Linked DNA regions of Coturnix japonica. The protein of the gene in region 3 interacts with the protein of the main gene of each other region in a pairwise test. Links are inferred from orthologs where the notes say so. Each region holds a gene or a part of one and is shown on either strand. Other genes may lie near its edges.

Region 1 (6,658 bases), on a different chromosome or scaffold from region 3:
TCAGCCTCCTCCTGCACCAAACAAGTCTAGTTTTCCAACCAACTGAATGGGGTTTGGGGGCTTACTGGGTCACTCTGGTTAGAGACAGACCCTACACCTCTATGTCCATAGAGGAGGAGGTTAGCTGAGTTCCCCATAGGGCTCATAAGTGGTTACCTTTCCTCTCACAGCAGGCAGCAGGGCATTGAAGCAGGTGGCCAGGAAGACCCCTCCTCCAAAGGAATTGCAGAGGGTGATGACCTTCTTGGAGCGATGAGCCTTCTCATAATCTGCCTGGATGATTTTGACGGGGAGGAGGGAGCCGGCCAGCATCAGGATGCAGATGCCCAGCAGACACAGCACTTTGGCAGCCACGATCTTCATGGTGCTGCCCTGCAGCAGCTCTCAGAGCGGGCACATCAGCAAGGGAAAGCACAGGGAAAGGTTGTAGCTGTGGACAGGAGAGAGAAGAGATTTCCTGTGTATTTAGTGTGTAGAAGAGCACCCTGCACCCCAACCTGTGTAGGATTGACCTCAGCTCTGCCTTTGCTCTGGAGGAGACCACATAGAACTGAACTGCAGCAAAAGCAGGAACTCCAAAACCTTGTGAGAGCCAAACTGGGCTGCACAGAACAGGCACAGCCTCAGTTGGTGGAGGTTTAAAACCACTCAGTCTTGCAATAAGATCCACCTGGGCTCAAAGGATCGAGTAATTGCTTTTAACCACAAGGAATGAGTAAAGGCTTGAGCTGGCAGCTCTCGGTTTCATTGAGGAATGGAGTTCAAGATCCCATTTCAACACCCACGTGGGGCTTTGGGGGGTAAAATAGGTAAAATAATTGGATAGCTGCCTATTGGACCATCAGATTAATTTCAAAACCAAAGATTCCTGTGGGTAAAACCTCCCCTGAGGGCTGATGGGATGAATCACTACAACCCCTCCTGTGTAGCAGGCTGCTGTACATGGTGATTGTGTGATCAAGTAAGTTGGGATTGATGGATGCTCTGAGTGATGAGGGAGTTTAAAACCTTCTTTTCAAGTTCAAGCTCTGCCTACACAGGAGCAAAGAGAGGTCACAGCAGTTTGGCTGCAGCAGGGCTGGCTCTCAGCTGGGTGTCTGTGCGAAGTGATGTCCATCAGCAGCAGCAGATGACACTGATGGACTCACCCTATGAACCCAGCTGGGCACATCCTGACAGGAGGGCTGAGGCTGTCACTGCTGCTGATGGGCAGAGATGCTGCCTCTGGGCCCTCCAGTGCCTGTCAGTACATTGCTGACACAGCCAACAAGCCAGGCTGCCTTTGCAATGCACACACTGCGGTTTCAGCATCAACAGAACAAGGGGATAACCTTGCATAGCGATGGCATGTTGTCACACCGGGCTTCTCAAGTCTTGAATCCAATGTTAGTGACAACGCATTGGGATTGTACAGAGAAGAGCTCGTTGCTCTGGGTGTGAAGGTACCAGGCAGCTCCTGGGATAGGAGCAAAGAGCACTGAGGGTGTTCCAGCATCTGAGACATTTGTATTTAACCCAGCCCCAGCAAAGAGCCTCAATGCTGATGGCAGCACTGGAGCAGCCCTATGTGCCCTGTGACCTCTGAGGAAAGCAGCTTAGTGAACAAGGGCTGGAAATACCTCCTGCTCTTCTCAGCCCGCAGCAGTTGATGCCTCTGACACCTGGATATATTGGCAGCACAGAAACCTCTGTAACAAAGAATGAATGTGGGATAGGCACTGCGTGGCTTTAGTGGGCAGGGGAGACAGGCCGGGCCTCCAGTCCCTGCTCTGAATGCCCCCAAAGCCTGCAGAGAGCACACAGGGAGCCCAGGAGGGGGAGCAGGGGGCTGTGATGGGGTCTGTATGGACAACCCTGGGGAGGTGGGGGCGGAATGGGGTGTCCCACGGCCCCGTGCACAGGGCCACAGCTTGAGCCTCCCCCCTCAACTGTAGGGCAGCCCCACAGGCCCCATGTCCCACTACAGGTCCCATAACCCAGCACAGAGGCCCCATATCCCACCACAGAGGCCCCATAACCCCCCACAGAGGCCCCATAACCCACCACAGAGGCCCCATAACCCACCACAGAGGCCCCATAACCCACCACAGAGGCCCCATAACCCACCACAGACCCCATATCCCCCCACAGAGACCTCGTAACCCCCTACAGAGGCCCCATATCCCCCCACAGAGACCTCGTAACCCCCTACAGAGGCCCCATATGCCACTACAGAGACCCCAAATCCCACCACAGAGACCCCATATCCCCCCATAGGCCCCATATACCCCCACAGAGGCCCCATATCCCCCCACAGAGGCCCCATATCCCACCATAGAGACCCCATATCCCCCCATAGAGACCCCATATCCCCCCATAGAGGCCCCATATCCCACCACAGAGGCCCCATAACCCCCCACAGAGGCCCCATAACCCCCCACAGAGCCCATATCCCCCCACAGAGGGCCCATATCCCACCACAGAGGCCCCATAACCCCCCACAGACCCCACATCCCCCCACAGAGACCTCGTATCCCACAACATTGACCCCAAATCCCACAACATTGACCCCAAATCCCACAACATTGACCCCAAATCCCCCCATATATCCCATAACCCCCCACATATCCCATAACCCCCCACAGGCCTCAATCCCCACCACAGCCCCCCCTCACCCCCAGTTCCCCACTAACAGCCCTCAACTCGCTGCTACCTCAATAGAGACCCCCCTCGGACCGTCCCATCCCCCTCAGGGCCGGCTCCGACCCCTTCAGGACCGACCCCCGTTCCCTCCCATCCCCCCCCATCCCCAACGCCCCCCACTCACTCTCCGTTCCCCTCCTGCGCCCCGTCCTGCCTGCCCCCGCGCAGCGCCCGCCCCCTCAGGCGTGCGGCGCACTCCTATTGGCTGAGATGATAATCACAAGCTCCCATTGGCTGAGGTAGACATCAATCAGCCCGCCCACTCCCCGTTAGGGGGGTGTGCAGCAGAATGGAGTCCGCCGGAAACACGCAGCGCGATGAAAGGTTCCGGGTTGCTCCGTTGGCAGCGCTGTCCGCTGTGCTGATGGAGCCGGATAGTTCAATCACTGTGATAAGAAGGGGATAGATAGCAAAGAGTGTCCAAATAGTTTATTCTTCACGAGTTTACATGAACCACAGATTAAATTTACGGAGCATGTACAGATCTGTTGGTTTCCCTTGATATTCAACATACCTGCTCATTCGTACCACCAGGTCTCCTATATCTCCCATTCAATCCTCAGCCATCCAGCTGCCCCCATGCCCAGCAATAGGGCCCCATACATTAGAAAACCCTTTAATACAGCCCTATAGCTGATCCCAAAGCCTCCATCCCCATCCAGGATGCTGTGGGAGGTGGGAAGCTGCAGGTATCCAGCAACAAGGATCTCCTCCATCCTCCCACATTGAACCAGCAGCCCTTTCATTCTCTATTTCCATGTATTTCCTTCTATATCCAAGGAGCATTTGGATTCCTTCTGCTTCTTATTCCATCCTTCCTTCTCTTTACTCCTATTATCAACTGGGTTGGTTACTTACATGCATCAAAAAGCAAAAGAGAAACCTTTTAAACACCGAAAACATGATATCTTTCCTTAATGTCCACCCGACTAGTTCACAGATTGGCTCATTCCAACACTAATTACTATTAACACTAAATGAGTTCTTGTCAAGGTTGGGGATGGACCCCAAGAGGTGTAACTGGAAACGCTCGTTCTACCTCATCAATCCCAACCCATCCAATATAATGATGGGAACCTTAGAGAGGCAGCCATCGGATCCTATGTGTGTGAACAACACAACGTTGCTACAGACCTGAATGAGTAACATCAAGAGAAAGCCTGTCCTTGGAGGTAAGAAGATCCAGTGGTCTCCAATGTCACTGTCTTGTAAGTGGCAGGAAGATGGAGGGGAAGCAGGATGGAGGTGGGACTCCAACACTTCTTTGAAGTGTAGGCAGGAAAGCAAAGGTGTCCTGTAGTGAAGAGCTCATCGTTCTTCAAAAAGGGGTTAAAAAATGCCCTCCAACGTAGCAAAGACCATAGAAATGTAACAGCGTCGTGAATGACTGAGTCTCTTTAGAAAGACTGTTTGGTGCTGGTTTGGTGTTTGCTGGATCTTCCAGAAGAAAACTTAATGGGAAAGGTGGAGGGGGAGGAGCAGGACGAAGACTGGGGGAAGAAAAGTGTGAAGCTGGTCTTGAACATGCAGGTCATAGGAAGGATTTTGTGTTGGGGGTGGGTTTGTTTTATCCCCCCCCCTCCCCTCTCTCCCCTTCTTGGACACTTCCAATTCAAATGGCACCACGCACATGGCTTCCAGTTTGTAAAGCAAAGAAGGTGAATCCCACGGACTGCACTGCAGAGACAAGAAGAGAAGACATTTGTGAATTGAGTTTATGAGTAAAGACAGCAACCCCAATTCAACATCAGAGACCTATAACATCAGCAGCCCCCTTTAACTGCTAACACCATTCATCTGCCAGTCACAAAGCATGAGGGAGGTCTATTCAAAGCTCTGCAGAGCTGAGCCTTGCGTCTCCCCAAGGCACAGCAGCAGCAGAGAGCTCAGTCTGTATGGAGGGGAAGAGAAACTGAGCTGCTAAGTGAAGGCACAAGGCAGATATTGCAGCACAACACTGAGATCCTCCCCGCAGCCTCACCTGTAATGCTCATTCCTGCTGATCTTCATTGCTGGCACTTGGAGTTCGACTCCTGATCTGGCTTCGTAGCTGTTCTATTAGTTCAGGATTCTGTTGTTGCATCTGCTGAGCAAACTGCTGGCCCCTGCAGGAGAACAAGCTACAGTTACTGTGTCCTCACACACCCATAGGGCTATGGAATTCATCCCAGGTGACTGCCAGAACCCTGCTCTAACAAGCAGTTCACGTTACAGTGCAGCTTTACTCAACCCTTAACTGAAGTTTTTACTTTTGATCACAATATCTGTAAGTCTGTTTAGTGATTAAGGTCATGGAGAAGAGCCAGCTCTTTACTCACGCTTGTATGAGGCTGGCAAGGTCATTTGTGGAGGGGCTGGTGCCTGCTGCTCCCATGGGGTTATGGCCACCAGAAATCATCCCAGACATGCTGTGGAAAGAAGAGTCATTGCTCAGAGTAGAAAAACACACCCAAATCTTTTTTGTTTGATACTAAAAGGGGAAAAGAAGAGCAATTGTATCATTAAGCTGCATGATATGCAGAAGTATTTATAACAGCTTCTTACTGTACTGACAAATATTCCTCTCTCCTTGGTGTTATGCTTAATTATTACACTGCTCCTCCTCACACAAGGTATTTGATAGCTCTGCACCAAATGAGGTTTACTGACAGCCTCAACATTGACTCATGGCTATCAGTGCAGGGTCTGCAAAGCCCCTTCAAGTCTTCAGGCTGCACCTGGCACAGAACCTCAGCTGACAACAGGAGTGGAAGGAGCAGGCAGAAGCAAATGGAAATGGTGGCAGATGTTTGGCTTTGTAGCAGGGCTGCCTCATACAGTAAGGCTGAGCTCCAGAAGGGCTCCACTGACTGCCTGAGCTCTGAAGGGACAGACTGGAGAGGCTTTATTCACTTCATGGTTTTATATTGTCTCAGCTTTCGGACAGATGTGAATTGATCCCCATAACTCTGCATTACAAGGAATAGAGATATTCTAACAGAGGGTGAGATGCCTCCTATTGAGGTTCCTCTTCAACACAGCCCAGAGTACTCAAAACACACACTGGTTCACGGCTGCTTTAAGGGCTGCCTTCCACATTTCTGGTTCCAGCACCCACCCCCCTCCCACCACAGCCTCAAAGGAGTGACTCAAAGAGGAAAGAGAACGCGGGATCAAACTTACAGCTGTTGTACTTGTGGATTGTTCATTAGGTTAGATGCCTATTTAAAGAGGGGAAGAAAAAAAAATGACACCCTATTTAGTCAGAAATGCCTGGGTAGATATGCAGATGTTGTGCCATTCAACTAGGAACAAAGCGAAGGCAGAAATACTTGGAAACAGATCAATAGGACAAAAATAGCAAAGAGAAGCACAGTGCAACACACAAGACAAGGCTGGTAATGCAGAACAGGCACCCTTTCCACACCCAGCACGTCACAAGGAGCAGCCTGTGAATAAGTCACTGGCTCTTTATTTGACTTGGGTGCAAAATACAAGCACAGCTTCCTCGCAGCAACACCAAGAAACGACAGCAAAGCTGCTCATGAGACACAGGAACACCCCACTCCACGTCCCAAAACGTTTCATCTTTAATGGATAAATGCACAGACTGAGTACAGCCTGGCTGTGATCTGTGCCCGCATTTACCATACTCATGAAGCCAGGGTTGTTCAGCAAGCCAGCTAAATCGAATCCTCCGGGACCTCCGGTCTGTAAGAATAAAGACACCACACGTGGGTGGTGACATCCTCTCACTTTCTGATGCAATAAACAGCACGCTGCAATGAATGGTACCTCGATGCTCCCAGTGTTATCAGAAGCTGGTCTTTAAAGCATGACAAAGGGCAGGATGGGGATCAGCTCACTCAGGGAGGCAAAGGGCACATGCTGATAGCAATGATGGCATCACACGCATTGTTGCACCAGCCCAGCCGTGCTAGTGACGTCCTGCCCCAACCCACCACACCTGCCAAGTCAAACACACCCACCTGCCCAC
Region 2 (7,348 bases), on a different chromosome or scaffold from region 3:
GTTAACAACACAGGAAAGCTACCTTTGTGTCTGTGCTCCATTCCACATTGCCAGTATTTTTCATTCGCCAGTGCTTGATGAACTTTGTGCCTGGCTGCAAGCGAGTCCCATCTGGTAAATTCTCATCCACAAAAACTGCACTCAGTGTTGGGACAACTGCTTGGAAGTGTTGACTGAGACCCCTGGGAGGGTGAAGAAAGAGAAACCAAAACACCAAAACTGAGGAAGTTGCTCAGCTGTTATGACTAAAACAGAATAACATACTTAAATGTGTTTTTTTCCTGTCTCTAGATGTGTTTCCAAACTGTAATGTTTTAGTACAGTTTTCATCTCAAGTCTAAACACCACTCAGCAGTTTGCTTAGCTTAACTAAAAAGGAAACATATTTGCTCATTTTGAAGAATCTCTATAAATATTACAATATCGAGGTTTAAAAGAAGGGTTCACTGCTCTTCAGTTGATATTTAATTTAGTTTTAAAACACTTTGGTCAATGCTACTACACTGTTACAGAAGAAAGTCACTATCTTTCCAACTTTGAATCAACTACTTATAGTTTAGTGGTATCTTATTTGGCCTTACATGCAACATTGTTTTTTCAGTAGGTACCACAGATTTGCCTGAAAGGCAATAAATTAATACGCAAATAAATAAAAAGCTCTACTGATAGTTTAGTGCACCAAGAGAGGATTGGTGAAGCAGTTCACCAGCAGTTCACCATCATTACACACATGTAATCCTATGCACTCTCCTTCCCTTGCCAACCTACATAATCATCTATTTAGACACAATTTTCACAGGATTCAAACACAAACAATACTATGAATGAGAGACAACTTCACAGCCTTCCTCATTACTTGAACTTGGTCTCATCACAGATAGCCAGACAGTGCAAATAAGAATTGATTGGCTAATAACAAGCCTTACGGTATGGTACTGTGTTGGAGATTTTCTGACTTCAGAGTTGGTGAGCCACTAGTTTCCAATACAGGGACAGAGTTCCACAGGTGAATTTTCCTGTGCAATTTTAGCTGCTTTTTGAGCTCCCGGACCTCTGCCTTTCGCTGTTTCTTCTCTGCTCGTAACCTCTGCTTTTCTGCCTTCAGAAATCTTTTGTCTATCTGCTTCTGGAGCCTGCAGAGAGAATCACTTTGTTAAGCATACTAATCTGATTAAAATTTAGCTTTAGTCAATACAGTCTCAGAACACCTCAGGTAACACCTCTTGTTTCTAGACTCGATACCAGACAATTCTCAAAGAACATAGCTGCTGACAAAGGTATTTAGAATAGCCTTGGTCAAAGAGAAGACAGATCAGACCATGCTCAAAAAACAAGCAAGCTCTCAAAGACTACTACCTATGATCTTTTCTATTTTGCTATTAAAAGCTCTGTAACAAAGTGACTTTAGTCAGGAATCTAGGTATAGAACTATTTTTAAATACTCTCTGCAGAGTACCATTTCCTATTTTGAATAAATCTGAATTCATAAAAGCAGAACGCTAACTGCAAGACAGGTTTTCTATTTTACTGCCAGGACAGTCTTACCAGGTACTAACAAGTGCCATCATTTACCTAACTTGCTCCAGAGTAGTGGGCAGGCAAGGTGAAAACTGTGCAACATCATAGTTTTCAGCAACACATAGCGTAGGCCTTCGTAGCTTTAGCAAAATATGATTAGGATCGTGTCCATACACTCCTGCTTCACACTGTTCACAAATATTGTAGGCTGGACAGAGACTGCAAAGTAGAAAGGGTAGAACATTACCAGGAGGTAGACAAAGAATTAATACACTAGAAAAGAAAGAATAACAATTAATCTTTCCATTTAAAAACAAACAAACAAACAAAAACCCTCAGAAAAAAAAAAAAAGAAAAAAAAAAGCATTTAATCCTTTAAAATCACTGACCATAAAACAACACAAAACAACAGAAAAAAAAACACAACTCTCCTTTTAGTTCTGACAGACTGGTAGCTATAATTTTCATGCTTTTGTTAACTTATCAAGGAAAGTACTTGGTTAGCTTAACTACTGCACACTGTATGTTAGAAAAAGTTTTGAAGTGCTTGAGAATAATAGGAGTCTGAAAATTGTCTTCCATTCTTGTAAGAAATTTTTTTCAAAACATTCTTAATTTTTCTTTTATGCAGATAAAGACTGTTTGCAACAGCAGAGAAAGTAAGCTCTTTATGAGATACATACTAGAGGTTCTGAAGCCTATACCACCCATCAGACTAGAAATAAGAAGATGGTTTCTCAAACTCTCATTCACATGCTTAAGTTTTCTATGGGGTCATCGTTCATCATGTTCTACCTGCACTGGTAGCGAACTCCAACAATTCGATCCTGGCAGTTGCAGCAGGAGATCAGCCAGTCACGTTGATTACCATTCTTTGTTTGGGTCTCTGAACCAGGAGGTGCTGCTGTAATAGAGCTCTCAGAGAAGTCTGAAGACTGATTGTGATGAATAAGCTTCTCGTATAGCTTCTGTTCTAGTTGCTCAACAGTTTCCTTCACCACTTGCTCCCTGAACTGAAGAGGAAAAAAATCATCACTAAGATGGAGATTCAAGATACTGATTTTACAAGGCATCACAGGTATCAATTCCACCCAAAACCTCTCAAATTTTAACACTCTTAAGGGATTATGCAAAAGAAAATACACTTACAGTTTCCAAGTAGCTAGTAAACCATTCTGGAGGGCTTTGATTTGTTCTTCCTGTTCTACTGTGATTTAACTTTTGCTGGTGAAGGGAGGGAAAAAAAAAGTCAAACACATCAAATACATGGAACTGTAAAACAAACCAGCCAACCAAACCACACTTTCAGCATAGCAACCACTTTGAAATAGCTCTCTCCTCAAGTGTTTTTTAAAATAAAGATTTCAGGCTCTTTAGAAAACAGCAGGAAAGTCAGACAAGGAAGCCACTAAAGTTTTCCTGAAAGATTTCTGCCTTATTTGCATTCACATACAATTAAACATCGAAGCCAAAGCAACTGAGTCAAACAAAAATTGCTAGAAGGCAAATCAGACCTTCAGGAGACCGTTTTATTTATCAAGATATTCATAATCGTCAAAAAGAATGAACCTCTAAATATAGCATCAAAACATCCTCTTATAGATATTCAAACAGTGTTGTGACCTTCAATGGCCACATTCTGGTAGCTACAAGGACCAATTTGTGAGCTTAGTTTTTTAACAAATGGGAAAAAAGGATAATCAGGCTATGAAATGAATAACGTTCCAATTCTTTGTTTTAATGAGAATATAATCCAGGTCTTCATCCTACCTGAGCTGTCAGCTCATCTTTAAGAACTGCCAACTTCTCAGTGACTGTTTTTTCATGCAGTTGCCAAGAACAAGATGAAGCTTCTTTCAGAGGAGAGTTTTCTTCATACACATTCATCTGTAGCTGATTTCCTTGTTTAACAGCAATCTAAATAAACACAATTTACCATATTTATTCCACTTAAAACCAAAATACAAAATCATGTAAAAATACAGCATTATAGTGCACCAGAGAGGCAAGGATGGAAGAGGGGGGTAGGAAAGGAACAGCAAAAGACATGAAAAATTGAGTGACAGACCAAGCTTCTTATATTCTGCCTTGTAACCAATATGCTTATTAGAAAGATCACTACAAATAAGTTTATTAGGCAAATATTCTGCAGCAGTTCTAAAATCTACAATAAAGCTGTTTACATAAAGCCAGTAAACAACAGAAAATCTCACAAGGAACCTGAAATAAGTTTTCATGCATTATTTTCAGATTAGAAATGCAAACCATAAGTTCTGAAAGCACTAGTGCTGTACAATTCAAAGGAATGCAATCCTTATTTGGTCTAGAAAAAAAAAAAAAAAAAAACCAACAACAACCTGTTGATGAAGTAACTAAGCTCTTAACATGAAAGGAAGTTTTATTGCCAGAGAGTATAACACTGCAAAGCGCACAGCTAAATTTTTAAATGGATCTCGTAAGAGCCGAGTACCTCCAAACATGGCATTACTGCATGTTTGATGAAGTCAGTGATTGTTCACTGTATGCTTACAGCCCTGAACCACAATATACTCAAATAATTAATACCATGTCAAAATCGGCCTGGCTGGACTAAAGCGTAGCAAAATATTCAAACTATCATCCAAAGCAGGAAAACTGAGCTACATGCTATATATAGCATGTGAGCTCCACATGCTAGATAACGCTATTTTTTCAGCTACAACAATCCTCATTAGAAAGCTGAATATACTGAAAAATTCAGAGACCAGTTACCTTCAGAGCTTCTTCATATTCCTCTGAAAAGAAAAGAGAAACATGTGAATGTTTCCTACATCAAATACACGTAAATTTAGCATACAGCATTTAAGAACCCTTTCTTCTAGGAATTCCCTCCACACCTTCAATAAATTATTTTAAAGTAGCTGCTGCACATGTGGCACCAAGGAAAGGCATGTAGCCTTTATTAGAGTTAACATTCCATTAACTCACTCATAAAAAATAAATAAATAAACAAACAAACAAACAGTTACAATGTATCATACATTTTCTTCTGCTGGGAAGAATTTGACACACAAGCATGTATGAAATTTCAACAAGCAAGGTTTCTCAGCTGTTTCTCCCTACAGTAACAGCTGAAGTCTATCAACAAGCCTGGTTTTAGTTCAATAAAACAGCAGCTTACCTTTGCTATTCACAGAAACCTGTAAAGAGAAATAATAATGAGTAACAGCCTGTTAATTATTTTTGTAGTTCTAGAAATCAACGTGCTTACAAGGTAAATGTACTTTTATTCAGTTTCTTAGGTACCTATCATTCTTTCAGATTTTTGTTATTGCTGCAATGTTTAATTATTAACCAATGCTGAAGCGTTTTGGACTAGATCACGTTCTTTATTAGGTTTGCACCACCAGCAAGGCCCCTGGCTCCACTGGCACCCAGAATAAGCATGGTCTCACTCAGCAGAAGTAAACCAGTGTTGCTATCACAAGGCTTCCTACGCAATTAAACAGAGGTTGGACCCAGTTGCTGTTAATACCAAGAATGCAACACTTATGTGTTCTTGATCACAAACCAGGCAACACAATCTGCTACAGGTGCTCTTTTTTCTTTTTTAAATCAAAATTTGCATAAAGAAGTTATTCATACAAGGAGTCATTTAATTGCTACAGCATTACATAATTCTAATATTTACTCTATTAGCAAATGAAAGAGATCTTGAGCAGACACACACATTAAACAAGTATACATACATGTTGACAAGGAAAGAAATAAAGGCTGGAAAATAAGGACAGAATCTTTCCCTGCAATGTTTCTGGAAGTGTCCTGACATTTCCCATTAGGAATTTTGTTTTGTTTTGGTTTTTTGTTTGTTAAATCCTCATCTCTGCAATCTAGCCAAGCGGCAAATCTATCTGTAGAGCTCAGACTGCTCAGCAACTCTGTTCTGTTTGACAGCTACATTCCAATCTAAACTCCAGATAAGCAGAAAGAATGAGGTCAAAGTTATGACAAACAGGAAGTTACTCAACAAGGACAACTGGAAGTAACTAATTTGCCTTCTGAGTCAGTAATCTGCTTGCAGATTATAGCATTCACATAAAATAAGCAGGGGATTTGAGTATACCAGATCACTGAAGTAAACATGGGCTAATGCCAGGGGATCTCAGAAGAATGAGCGTAGATTGAAGAGACAGGGCTTTATTGTGGCTTCGGACACAAGCAGTTACAAGTACTTTACTCTGATAAAATAATAATTTAAAAAAACTAAAAATTCCTCAACAGAACTTCCCATTCCTCAGAACACAAAGAAACACTAACTGTTTCTGTAGGGTTATACTGGTGTTAAAAACAGAAGCAATAGCTTCTGTTTGAAATTAGGAATGCTACATTAAGAGTGAAACCAAGAGACTATCAGTTACATTTTTTCTCAAAGGGACAAAGCTCACCACCTCTGCAAAATATATGCTCCAGAAAGACTGACTATAAGAGGCATAAAGGTTCACAGCAGTTGTATTTCAGAGATGGGAGGGGAGAGGGGGACAGGGGCAGCATTATACCTCATCATTATCCTCATCAATGTATTTTATCTGAATGTCATCCAGGTCAAATGAAACTTTAACCTGCAAGCAAAAGAAGAAAAATTAAAACAAAGTCAATGAGACAGGCCTCCAGCAGATTTCAGTTAATCATGACCATTAACAGGAAAAAAAAAAAAGGTCCCTTCCCTCTCAGTTTCAGTTTTACAAAGTCTGTTCTTCTGGAGTTAAAAAACTCTTCCCAGCGTCTTCCCTAAACCCCACTTTTTACCAACTTGCCACAGTGAAAAGCAGAAAATCATTTATTTAGTGTTCCAGCTTCTCTAGTTAACGTTTACCCAGCAAATCAAGATCACAGAATAGCCTTTACATGGTAAAGGGACTTGCTCAGGGTTAATGAACTCAGTCATGGAAAACACTGCAATTTACAGAGGCTAAAGCCAACAATCTTTGAACACTAGCTTGTGCATTAAACAACACCTGGTACTGACAAGCAGCCTTTCTTTCCCCTGACAAACCTACCTGAATTTTGAGAAACTAGAACAAATGCAAGTTAAGATGAGAGGAATTTTACATTCTACTACTCCCTGGCAGATTCACTGTACGCCTGAACACATAAACCCATGATGCATTTCCAAATAAGAACAACAAATCCAAATAGCTATATTGTATTAACAGAGCAGAATTCACAATATTAAATGAACTGTAAACAAAAGTAACTGTAATGTTGAATAAGACTTTGAGGCCCATGTGCATTTTTTACACACAAACCGCACTTCTCCAAGTCCGCTCTACTTGAGGCATATTCTGTCAGCCTGGTTCTAACAAAAGACCTCTAGCCATCTGGAAGACAGTAGATGTCTCTCACAAGACAGCCTCACAAGAGCTACCTCTATTGCAGAATTTATAGGTGACTGGTGGGTCCTTTCAGTGATATAGCCCAAATTAATTTTGGGAGTGCAATGAGAGAACAAATTCATCGTGAAAAAAATGCCGATTTAAATATATCTCTGCACCATAAGTTGTTCCCCAGAACTCAAGCTACAGCCATAAATTTGCCTGTCCTTTTTAAGCACCAGACATATTTACTAATGCAGTAAAACACAAGAAATAGTTTAGCTAGTACTACCATGAAACACTGCAAAGTGCAGGATCATCCTTGGTTAGAGAAATAACCCTAATGCAATAGGGGCTCATGCCTCAACTAAGCACACTCGTTCTTTGAGCACCAAGGATTAAAAGCAATCTGCTTCCAGCTCTGATGCAAGTAGAACACAAACCCACTCAAACATTCCTACACAGCCTACCCATCAACA
Region 3 (7,973 bases):
ATATGGAAATACCTTATGTATCAGAAAGTCCACTAATTTATCAACAAAACATCAGTGACATAGTTATAACTGCAATATAATGAAAGAATTGCAAAATAACTATATGAGTTATAGGTATGTTATCTGACAGACATTTAGTTGATTTTTCAGCATGCTTGATCTTTGGAAACAATCCAAATGAAAGTCAATATACATTCTACTTTGTTAGCAGAGAACAAAAGAAGTGTTCATGATTCATATGCATTTTGATGGCTCTGTGATTATTGTAAATGATCTTTCTGTTCTGAAATAAGACAAAACAATTTGAAATAGTTTTAGCCAAGTGAAATCACTGTGCTTTTCTACTGACTTTGGAGTAATTTTAACAGCTCCCTCATAACTTAGGATCTTTAGAAGAAATGTAGATTGTTTAAAAGACAATGAGAGAGAGAGAAAAATATATATATATTTAAAACAGGAAAGATGTAGGAAGAGTATAATAAAGTATATTCTTTTGCATTCTTTCTCATCAAAGCAAATTAAAATTAATTTATGCCTCTTGACCTAATGTGAATAGATCCACCAAAACCTGCTGATCATCTGAGTAAGCAAGAAGAATTTGGAAAATTAACATTTTATTGCAAAATGCTTATTGTAGTGTTACTTTGTTATTTTTGTGTAATTGTTTCCTTATACTGCCCTAATGAAAAGATCTCAGCAGTACATTTGATAAACTTTTCCCTTTTTTTTCCCAGGATGCTAGCAATATTGTTCAAGTATCATAGTTAAACCAGTACAACACCTCTAAACTTTAAATAAGAAATATGTTACCCTAACATTTCTTTTGATGATCTCTCTGTCCATTAGCATCCTTCCTTCCGACAATTCAATTCCTGCAAGAGGAATGAGGACTTCTCCAATGACATCATCTCTGGAAAACCTGTCAAAGCTCAAGATCATAAAGTGAAGCGTTAAGTCTTGAATTTGACTATAAGGGATCCCATAAAACGTGAAGGTCTCATCAAAAGCAGGATCTAAGGTTTTCCTCAGCACTCTGGTTTTCACCTTGTGCTTTTTCTCAGGAAGGATTGTCATTTTGATGTAGGGATCAGAAGTCATTGACTGTTCATCCATTGCTGGCAGCCCACGTGCTTCCTTGATGCTCACTACAAATGCCTTTTTCTCAAAGTTGTACTCTAAAGAGAGAAAGAGAGTGCCTAGTTTGTCTTGTTTTTCTTCAGATGACAGGGATGTAGTGGATTTTAAACTATCAGGGGAAACCGAATCTTTCTTCTTTTCTGAAAAGTGCTTTGAAGATGAATTTTCAGAGTCTGGAGAACTCTGCATTTTTGAGGTTGTTTTTGGGAAGTTGCCATTTAGATCTCTCTTCTCCAGGTCAAGATGAAGAGAATTCTTTGACATTTCTGATTTGTTCTTTTCTTCATTTTTATCATCTACTCCAAACTTCTTCTTACTGTTGAGATTCTCAGGATAAATATCAACTCCCTTCAGAACATGGACAAACTTATACGGAGGAGTCTTATTGGATTTGGATGATTTACGCTGACAGCAGATCCAAGCAAAAAGGGAGACAGAGAAGACAAGGCCAAATGCACTAAAGATCCCAACAACTGTAGGAATTTCATCTGCAAATCAAATAAACAGTAACAAGCAAATAAGCAGCAATTTCTTCTACTCTGTGATATTTAATAAAATGATAATTTAGGCAGGAAAACTGATACGAGATGGTAACAGGAGCAGTTGACATACTGAAAGTGCATTTCATTGCATGCATTGTTCGCCACCTGCAGGCGTGAATGTTTAATCTCATGCTGTTAGTATTTTTCCATACAAAGGATGTCTGGAAGGAAAATACTGTTCCCACTGCAACAGTAATTATGATGAATAATTTATCAGCTATTTCATCATTTTTTGTGTAATTTTGGAGTTTATATGTCAGTGAGAAAAACTAGATCAGGTTTTATCTTTGATTTTATTGTACTGTATTTTTTAGATGGAATTCTGATATATCTGTTCCTTATAGGTTTATCATCTGCTTTTCACATAGTTTCCTAAAATGCTTTTTGTACTCAACTCAGCTTTATGGACTGATCCCATAATTGTCTGAAGGTATCTGTTGAAAGAAATCAAATTTTTCAGGTAGTTGTAACACCGAGGAGTTTCAAGAGGATTTTCAATACATTCTAGGAGAAAGTCTATTAAGAAAATTTAGAATAGTTACATGCCAAGTTTCCTCTGCAGATGAATATAACATTTGGCAGTTGCATGTGAGTCAAAAGCTATGAAACTTAAGTGCATCACTGATACCCTCTAAGCTTTGATTCTGGGACTCTATGAATCAAAGCTATAGAGAGCATACATGATGGATCACTTCTTTTGAGTATATAAAAGAAACATTAAAATGTAATTTTCATCTACCTTGATAACAGTCCTATATTTGAAATCTGAATGAAGAAAAAACTATCCAAATGTTTCAATTTCAACTGCCATGTGGACACTTCAGTTGCATATGGAGTATCATTAGCCATTTGCAAGCATGGATTGAAGGGGCAAATGAGCACAACTAATTGGAAATCCAATTTTGCCCATAAGTAACATTACTAAGTGAGTTTAAACCTCCCACAGTGTAACGATAAGAGCTTAATCTTTATTCTCTGCACTAGTAGACTAGTAGAATATTAATAGAATGACATTGTTTATGCATAAAGCCAATTGTGTTACAGTTCCTCTAGCAAATAATTAGCAGATCATTCTGAACAAGGAAAGCAAAACTATCCTATTGTACACATTACTAAACATGCTTTATCTGGGTAAAAGCTCTAATAGATGTACCACCACCATAACTTTGACTTTGAGTAAAAAACAAAAAAACAAAACTAAAACAAAAAACATAACATTATCAAAAAAGCAGGACAAAATGTTCCAGTACAGAAAGTGCAAGGCCTTGTTAATAGTTTCTTCTGACAATAAACATATCACTTCTGCCCACAAGCTGTATCAATATATGTTTAACTGTGAGAAGTCAATAAGCGACTAAAAATTATATGCAGAATTTTAAAAAGTGGAGTTGTTCTAAGCCAAGCATTTTTGTCTGAGTTTCAAGTATTATCTTAGCTGAAAAAATTTAAAAGTAAATGAAACAAAGGTAGAAAGCAAGGAGTAATTAAGAGATAATGAGAATACTTTAAATAGCTTTCAAGAGTGATCTATACATTTTTAATACTTTTTCATGAGTTGGCATTTAAAATTTTTATAGTAATGGAAACCACCCTGTGTTTTTATTCTACAGCTACTGGAAGAAGTGGTAAAATCAATTTAGTATCTGAAATATTAATTAACTTCTTTAAATAAGTAATTAGATAAGGATGATGTCATGAGTGTTGTTAGAAATATCAGATGGGTGGGGTAGGTAGGAAAGAAGAAGATATCTAAAATTTTTTATATTCACAAAAAATTACATTACAACAAGTTGTAATAATGTAAATCAGGTAACATTCAAGGCAGTGTACTAATAGGAAACAACACCTATTGATCCTGGGAGAAAATTTTATTTCAGTTATGTGATGTAAATTTGGAGTCACTTCACTTAAGTCAGTGGAATGATCCTTGAATTTAACCACTGGTAAAGCAAATAACATCTAGGCTTGAGTCAATATTTGTAAAGCAGAGTTCCGAAACATTACAATTTACAGCTTTTATGAGTAATGCTATTCATTTTGTATTTTCAATGTCTCTAAAACTTTCTGCATCACAGTTATTCATGCTACAGTAAGTGTATAGAAATGGCATGACTGAAAAGTTCATTGTCATCATTGGTATTCTCAAAAAATAGACAGATAGGAACATTTAGCCAGAGACACTGGATTACTGTATTCCCATCTTTTCAATAGTGTTCTTTAACCAACTATATTTCACTTTTGCTAACAGTCTACAAATCTTTCTCTATGACAAGATAAAAGGATTCTTATCCCAAGAGTGGCTTTGATGAAGATTTTGTCTGTGGCACAAGATGTGTTTACAGCATTTTACTCCGAAGCCATGATATTTTAACCAAGACAGATAAAACAACTCCCAACTCATCCATACAAAAATGCACCTAGTCAAACCCCTCCTTCTCTCCTAGTGATATACCAGAGGGAATGGCTAGGAGAAAAAGAACAGAAAGAAAAAGGGGAGAAAGCAAATTCACACAACTTCTGGTATCAGAGAGAACTAGAAGAAATTCTGTTCCTCCCAGCAGTCTGGGAGGCACCGGGGTGGCTCAGTAGTGGCTGCCTGCATGCTCTTCTCATCCCCGTGGCAGGGAGTTGTGGCCGGGACGCACTTACCGAACTGCTGGTGGCTGGCCGAGATCGGAGCCATGTTGGTGGTGCTCTCTGTCCGCGGTACTGGAGCCGCTGTCCGTGGTCCTGGAGCCTCTGGCCGACGAGGCTGTCCGGGCTAGCAGAGTCACCCTCTCCGGTGCTGAGCGGCCCCTGCTCAAAGTGCCGAATGTGATGCTCTGCTGTTTCTCGGCTCGTCACTCTCTCGCAGAGACCGGACAGCAGGCTTTTCCACGGAGGAATAACAATAAATAAATAAATAAATAAATAAAAGAGAGAGAGAGAGAGAGAGAGAGAAAGGAAGAAAGAAGGAAAGAAGGAAAGAAAGAAAGAAAAACTATCAAAAACAAAACCCGGAGACACAAGCAGTGGGGAAGGTGAAGAAGGAGGCTGTGATCGGGCTGAAGGAGTGGGGGGAGGGGGAGCGTCGGTCCTCCCCTCTGCACACTGATTTCCAACCCCCTTCCTGTTTTGGTTCTTCTGAGTAGCTCCGCACCGAGACTGAAGACGTGGTTGAAACCCAAATTGACGCAATCCTGACGCTACAGGGCTGAAATCAGCACCTTTCCCACCTCCCTTCCCCCCCCCTCCACCTCCCCTTGCCCCCCCTCCATGGCCACCACACCCTCCCTCCCTTCTTTCCTTCTCCCCCCTCTTTCCCTCCTCCCCCCCCTTCTATCATTCTGGGGATTGAACACACACTCATCGATTATTTTAACTGCCCTGCTGCAGGATATGAGCACCCACCCTCTGCTGGACACAGAAAGAGGAATGTTAATGGCTGTGATTCAGTGCACCTTGTGTAATATACGGGTGTGTCTGTTTTGCTGGGGTAAGATCTATTTATCTGCTTATTTATCTATCAGCTGGATGGGCTACAATAATGTGAAGGAGATGCCAGCTCAGATGATCCAGATGCTTTGGCTCCAACAGAAAAGAACATATTTCTGCAATGACTGATATGATACACTTACTGTTTTTTGAATCATAATAACTCCCAGTGTGCCTTCTCCCTATCCCCTGTCCTTGATTTTCCTTATCACCTAGCTCTACACAATACCCTGAACCTTCACTCTGCAAATGTGTTTTTTTTTTTTTTTTTTCTCCTCTTGATATTCCTGCTTGCCTGGAAAAGAGCTGAATCTATTGAGACACATCTGGATTTTACACAATTTGCATATCAGTCCCAAAGTCTGGACTAAGAACATTTAGAGAGATAGGGGTAAGTGGCAGGCAGATGAGAGGAATTGAGAGAAACAGAAAAGAAAAGCAGGGCTGCCCAAAATTAGAGCCACTATAGTAACCCAGAACAAATCGTAGTGCAACAGAGCTGCAAAAGCCAGCATCTGGCATCTGACTTCAGGATTCAAAATGAACTGTATCAGCCAACTTTGAATCCCAACAGTTAATTTTGCTGCATAAATGGGAAGCAGGTGTTGTTTTTCATCTAAATAACAAAATTCAAATGCTGAGATAGTCTGGAATCACTGTGCTCCACAATGGGCTGCATAGGTGCTGGTATGTCTTGGCCCAATTCAAAGAATGTTCTTGTTTTACATTGAAGCCAGTGAAGCTCCTTGGCATTTGTAATGATAAAAAGGGAATTCTAAGGAATTAAAACAAGCTATTACCAAAGCACTTGCCTAGTCCTGAGAACTGAAAATATATTGGCTAATATTAACTGTGCTTTTCTCCTTCTTTTGTACTTTCAGCAGTTTGTCTTGTTACATGTAACTACCCATCTCTTTCATGTGTAGCTGTATCCACTACCTTAGACTTCCTTATATCTTAAGCCATTTAAAAAACATAGAATCATAGAATCAATAAGATTGAGTTCCTAAAGATCATCAAGTACAACTGCAACCTAACCATACTACCCTAACTAACAACCCTCTGCAAAATCATGTCCCTGAGCACCACATCCAAATGGTTTTTTAAACACATCCAGGAATGGTGATTCAAACCCCTCCCTGGGGAGCCTATTCCAGTGCTTAACAACACTTTTTGTAAAGAAGAAGTTTTTCCTAATATCCAACCTAAACTTACCTGGCACAACTTAAAGCCATTTCCCCTCATCCCACCACCTGTCACCAGTGAGAAGAGTCCAATCCCACACTCGCTGTAAGCACCTTTCAGGTATTGGAAGAGAGTAATACAGTCTCCCCTCAGCCTCCTTTTCCCCAGACTAAACAGACCCAATTCTTTCAGTTGCTCCTCACAGGGCCTTCACAAGTCTTGTTGCCCTTCTTTGGACCTGTTCCAGCACCTCCATGTCCTTTCCATACTGAGGTGCCAAAAAATGAACACAGTACTTGAGGAGAGGTGTCGTTAATACTGAGTACAGGGGCAGGAGGACTTCCTTAGTCCTGCCCACCACACCATTCCTGATACTTTGCTTTTAGGTGTGGTTTGTCAATACAGTTTTTTCACCAAAATTCCTTTCTCAAAATGCACATCCACTGAAAACAATTTCATTTAGTTTTAGACGCCTTTCCAGGTATTCAAGCCTCTTGATATGGCTGACATAATCAAAACACATATGAAAAAAAGGACTAAAATATCTTTAACTGGAATATTAAACTATTAGAATCTGTTATTATGACTGGACTTTAAAAACAATGTACAAAAAATAGCTTACTTGGTTACCAGTGCTAGCTGAGCTAGGGCATCACATGACCACACTTGTATGATTGTAAATAATTTGTGATGACAATGATGATAATAATAATAATTACTTTCATTAATGAAATCTGGGATATCCTTAGTCTAAATAGAAACAAATATTGAAGCTCATGATAATGTAGAAATTCTTTCTTCAGATTTTCTTTTACTATTCCATACTTTTCATAAGTATATATGTATAGTTCACAGAAAGACCTTCCTTCAGCATCCAGATTTTTTTTTCTTTTATGTTATTTTGACTGTCTGTGACAAATTTGCTGAAATGTGATACATGTTCTTTTTAAAATTAGTACTTCCCCTCCCCCCCTCCCCCCCCAACTCCTTGTATTTCATCTTAGATATCACACACTGAGTAAGAATCCTGTGGTGATAGATGTTGTACAAAAATATTGTACAGAGACCTTCCCTTCTACTCAGTTCTGTGCAAATGTAGCTTTTCAAGACATGATAGAAAATGTATCTCTCTTCTGTATTTAGGCATTTGGAACTGATAAGACTGAGTGTATGCATAGGTATATGTAAGTATATAAACAAATACGTAAGTGAATGATTTTATTTCTTGGTGAGTGTAATAGCAGATAACCAGTCTTTTACTACATTCATGAAGCTTCTATATTTAATTATAGGATTCCACATAATGGAACATAGTGAAAATACTTGAGAAGAGGCAGAGTACTGAGTTGCTGACACATCCTGAGACAGACGTACTTTTCGTTCCCTGTGTTGTGCAAGCACCATCTAGTGTACGTCTTAGACCCATCATCAGCAACTGAATAGAATACACTCATGTAAGTAGCACAAGCATAAATACTGCTGACTCACTGTTTCTTCATGTACAGTTCTGAAAAGTGAGTAGAGGGGAAAAAAAAAAAAATCATCATTGAGCCCTCTGTGCTTTTTAATCAATTAAATTTCTATTTCAGGATATTTTTTTTTTTATTTTTATTTTTTCTGATATAATAGTGACTC

What was found.
Region 1: the proteins of SYT4 (region 3) and SGTA interact in binary tests that used the Homo sapiens proteins (3 or more experiments, as listed by UniProt). The two-hybrid records come from large-scale screens. The link is inferred for Coturnix japonica from reciprocal best matches to the Homo sapiens genes SYT4 and SGTA.
Region 2: the proteins of SYT4 (region 3) and NBR1 interact in binary tests that used the Homo sapiens proteins (3 or more experiments, as listed by UniProt). The two-hybrid records come from large-scale screens. The link is inferred for Coturnix japonica from reciprocal best matches to the Homo sapiens genes SYT4 and NBR1.

Annotation. Positions count from the first base shown.
Region 1 is NC_029543.1:2,301,967-2,308,624, reverse strand, and holds the end of SGTA (small glutamine-rich tetratricopeptide repeat-containing protein alpha), read right to left. Parts: intron 6,373-6,658; coding exon 6,310-6,372; intron 5,883-6,309; coding exon 5,845-5,882; intron 5,091-5,844; coding exon 5,001-5,090; intron 4,788-5,000; coding exon 4,673-4,787; 3' UTR 4,664-4,672; intron 4,360-4,663; 3' UTR 3,086-4,359; downstream 1-3,085. Other genes in the region: SLC39A3 (zinc transporter ZIP3), read right to left, coding at 157-363. UniProt on the Homo sapiens protein: Co-chaperone that binds misfolded and hydrophobic patches-containing client proteins in the cytosol. Mediates their targeting to the endoplasmic reticulum but also regulates their sorting to the proteasome when targeting fails.
Region 2 is NC_029542.1:4,753,896-4,761,243, reverse strand, and holds part of NBR1 (next to BRCA1 gene 1 protein), read right to left. Parts: intron 6,117-7,348; coding exon 6,054-6,116; intron 4,698-6,053; coding exon 4,679-4,697; intron 4,293-4,678; coding exon 4,270-4,292; intron 3,436-4,269; coding exon 3,289-3,435; intron 2,743-3,288; coding exon 2,668-2,742; intron 2,532-2,667; coding exon 2,314-2,531; intron 1,738-2,313; coding exon 1,573-1,737; intron 1,134-1,572; coding exon 927-1,133; intron 183-926; coding exon 23-182; intron 1-22. UniProt on the Homo sapiens protein: Ubiquitin-binding autophagy adapter that participates in different processes including host defense or intracellular homeostasis.
Region 3 is NC_029547.1:3,043,983-3,051,955, reverse strand, and holds the start of SYT4 (synaptotagmin-4), read right to left. Parts: upstream 4,872-7,973; 5' UTR 4,363-4,871; coding exon 4,329-4,362; intron 1,626-4,328; coding exon 811-1,625; intron 1-810. UniProt on the Homo sapiens protein: Synaptotagmin family member which does not bind Ca(2+). Involved in neuronal dense core vesicles (DCVs) mobility through its interaction with KIF1A.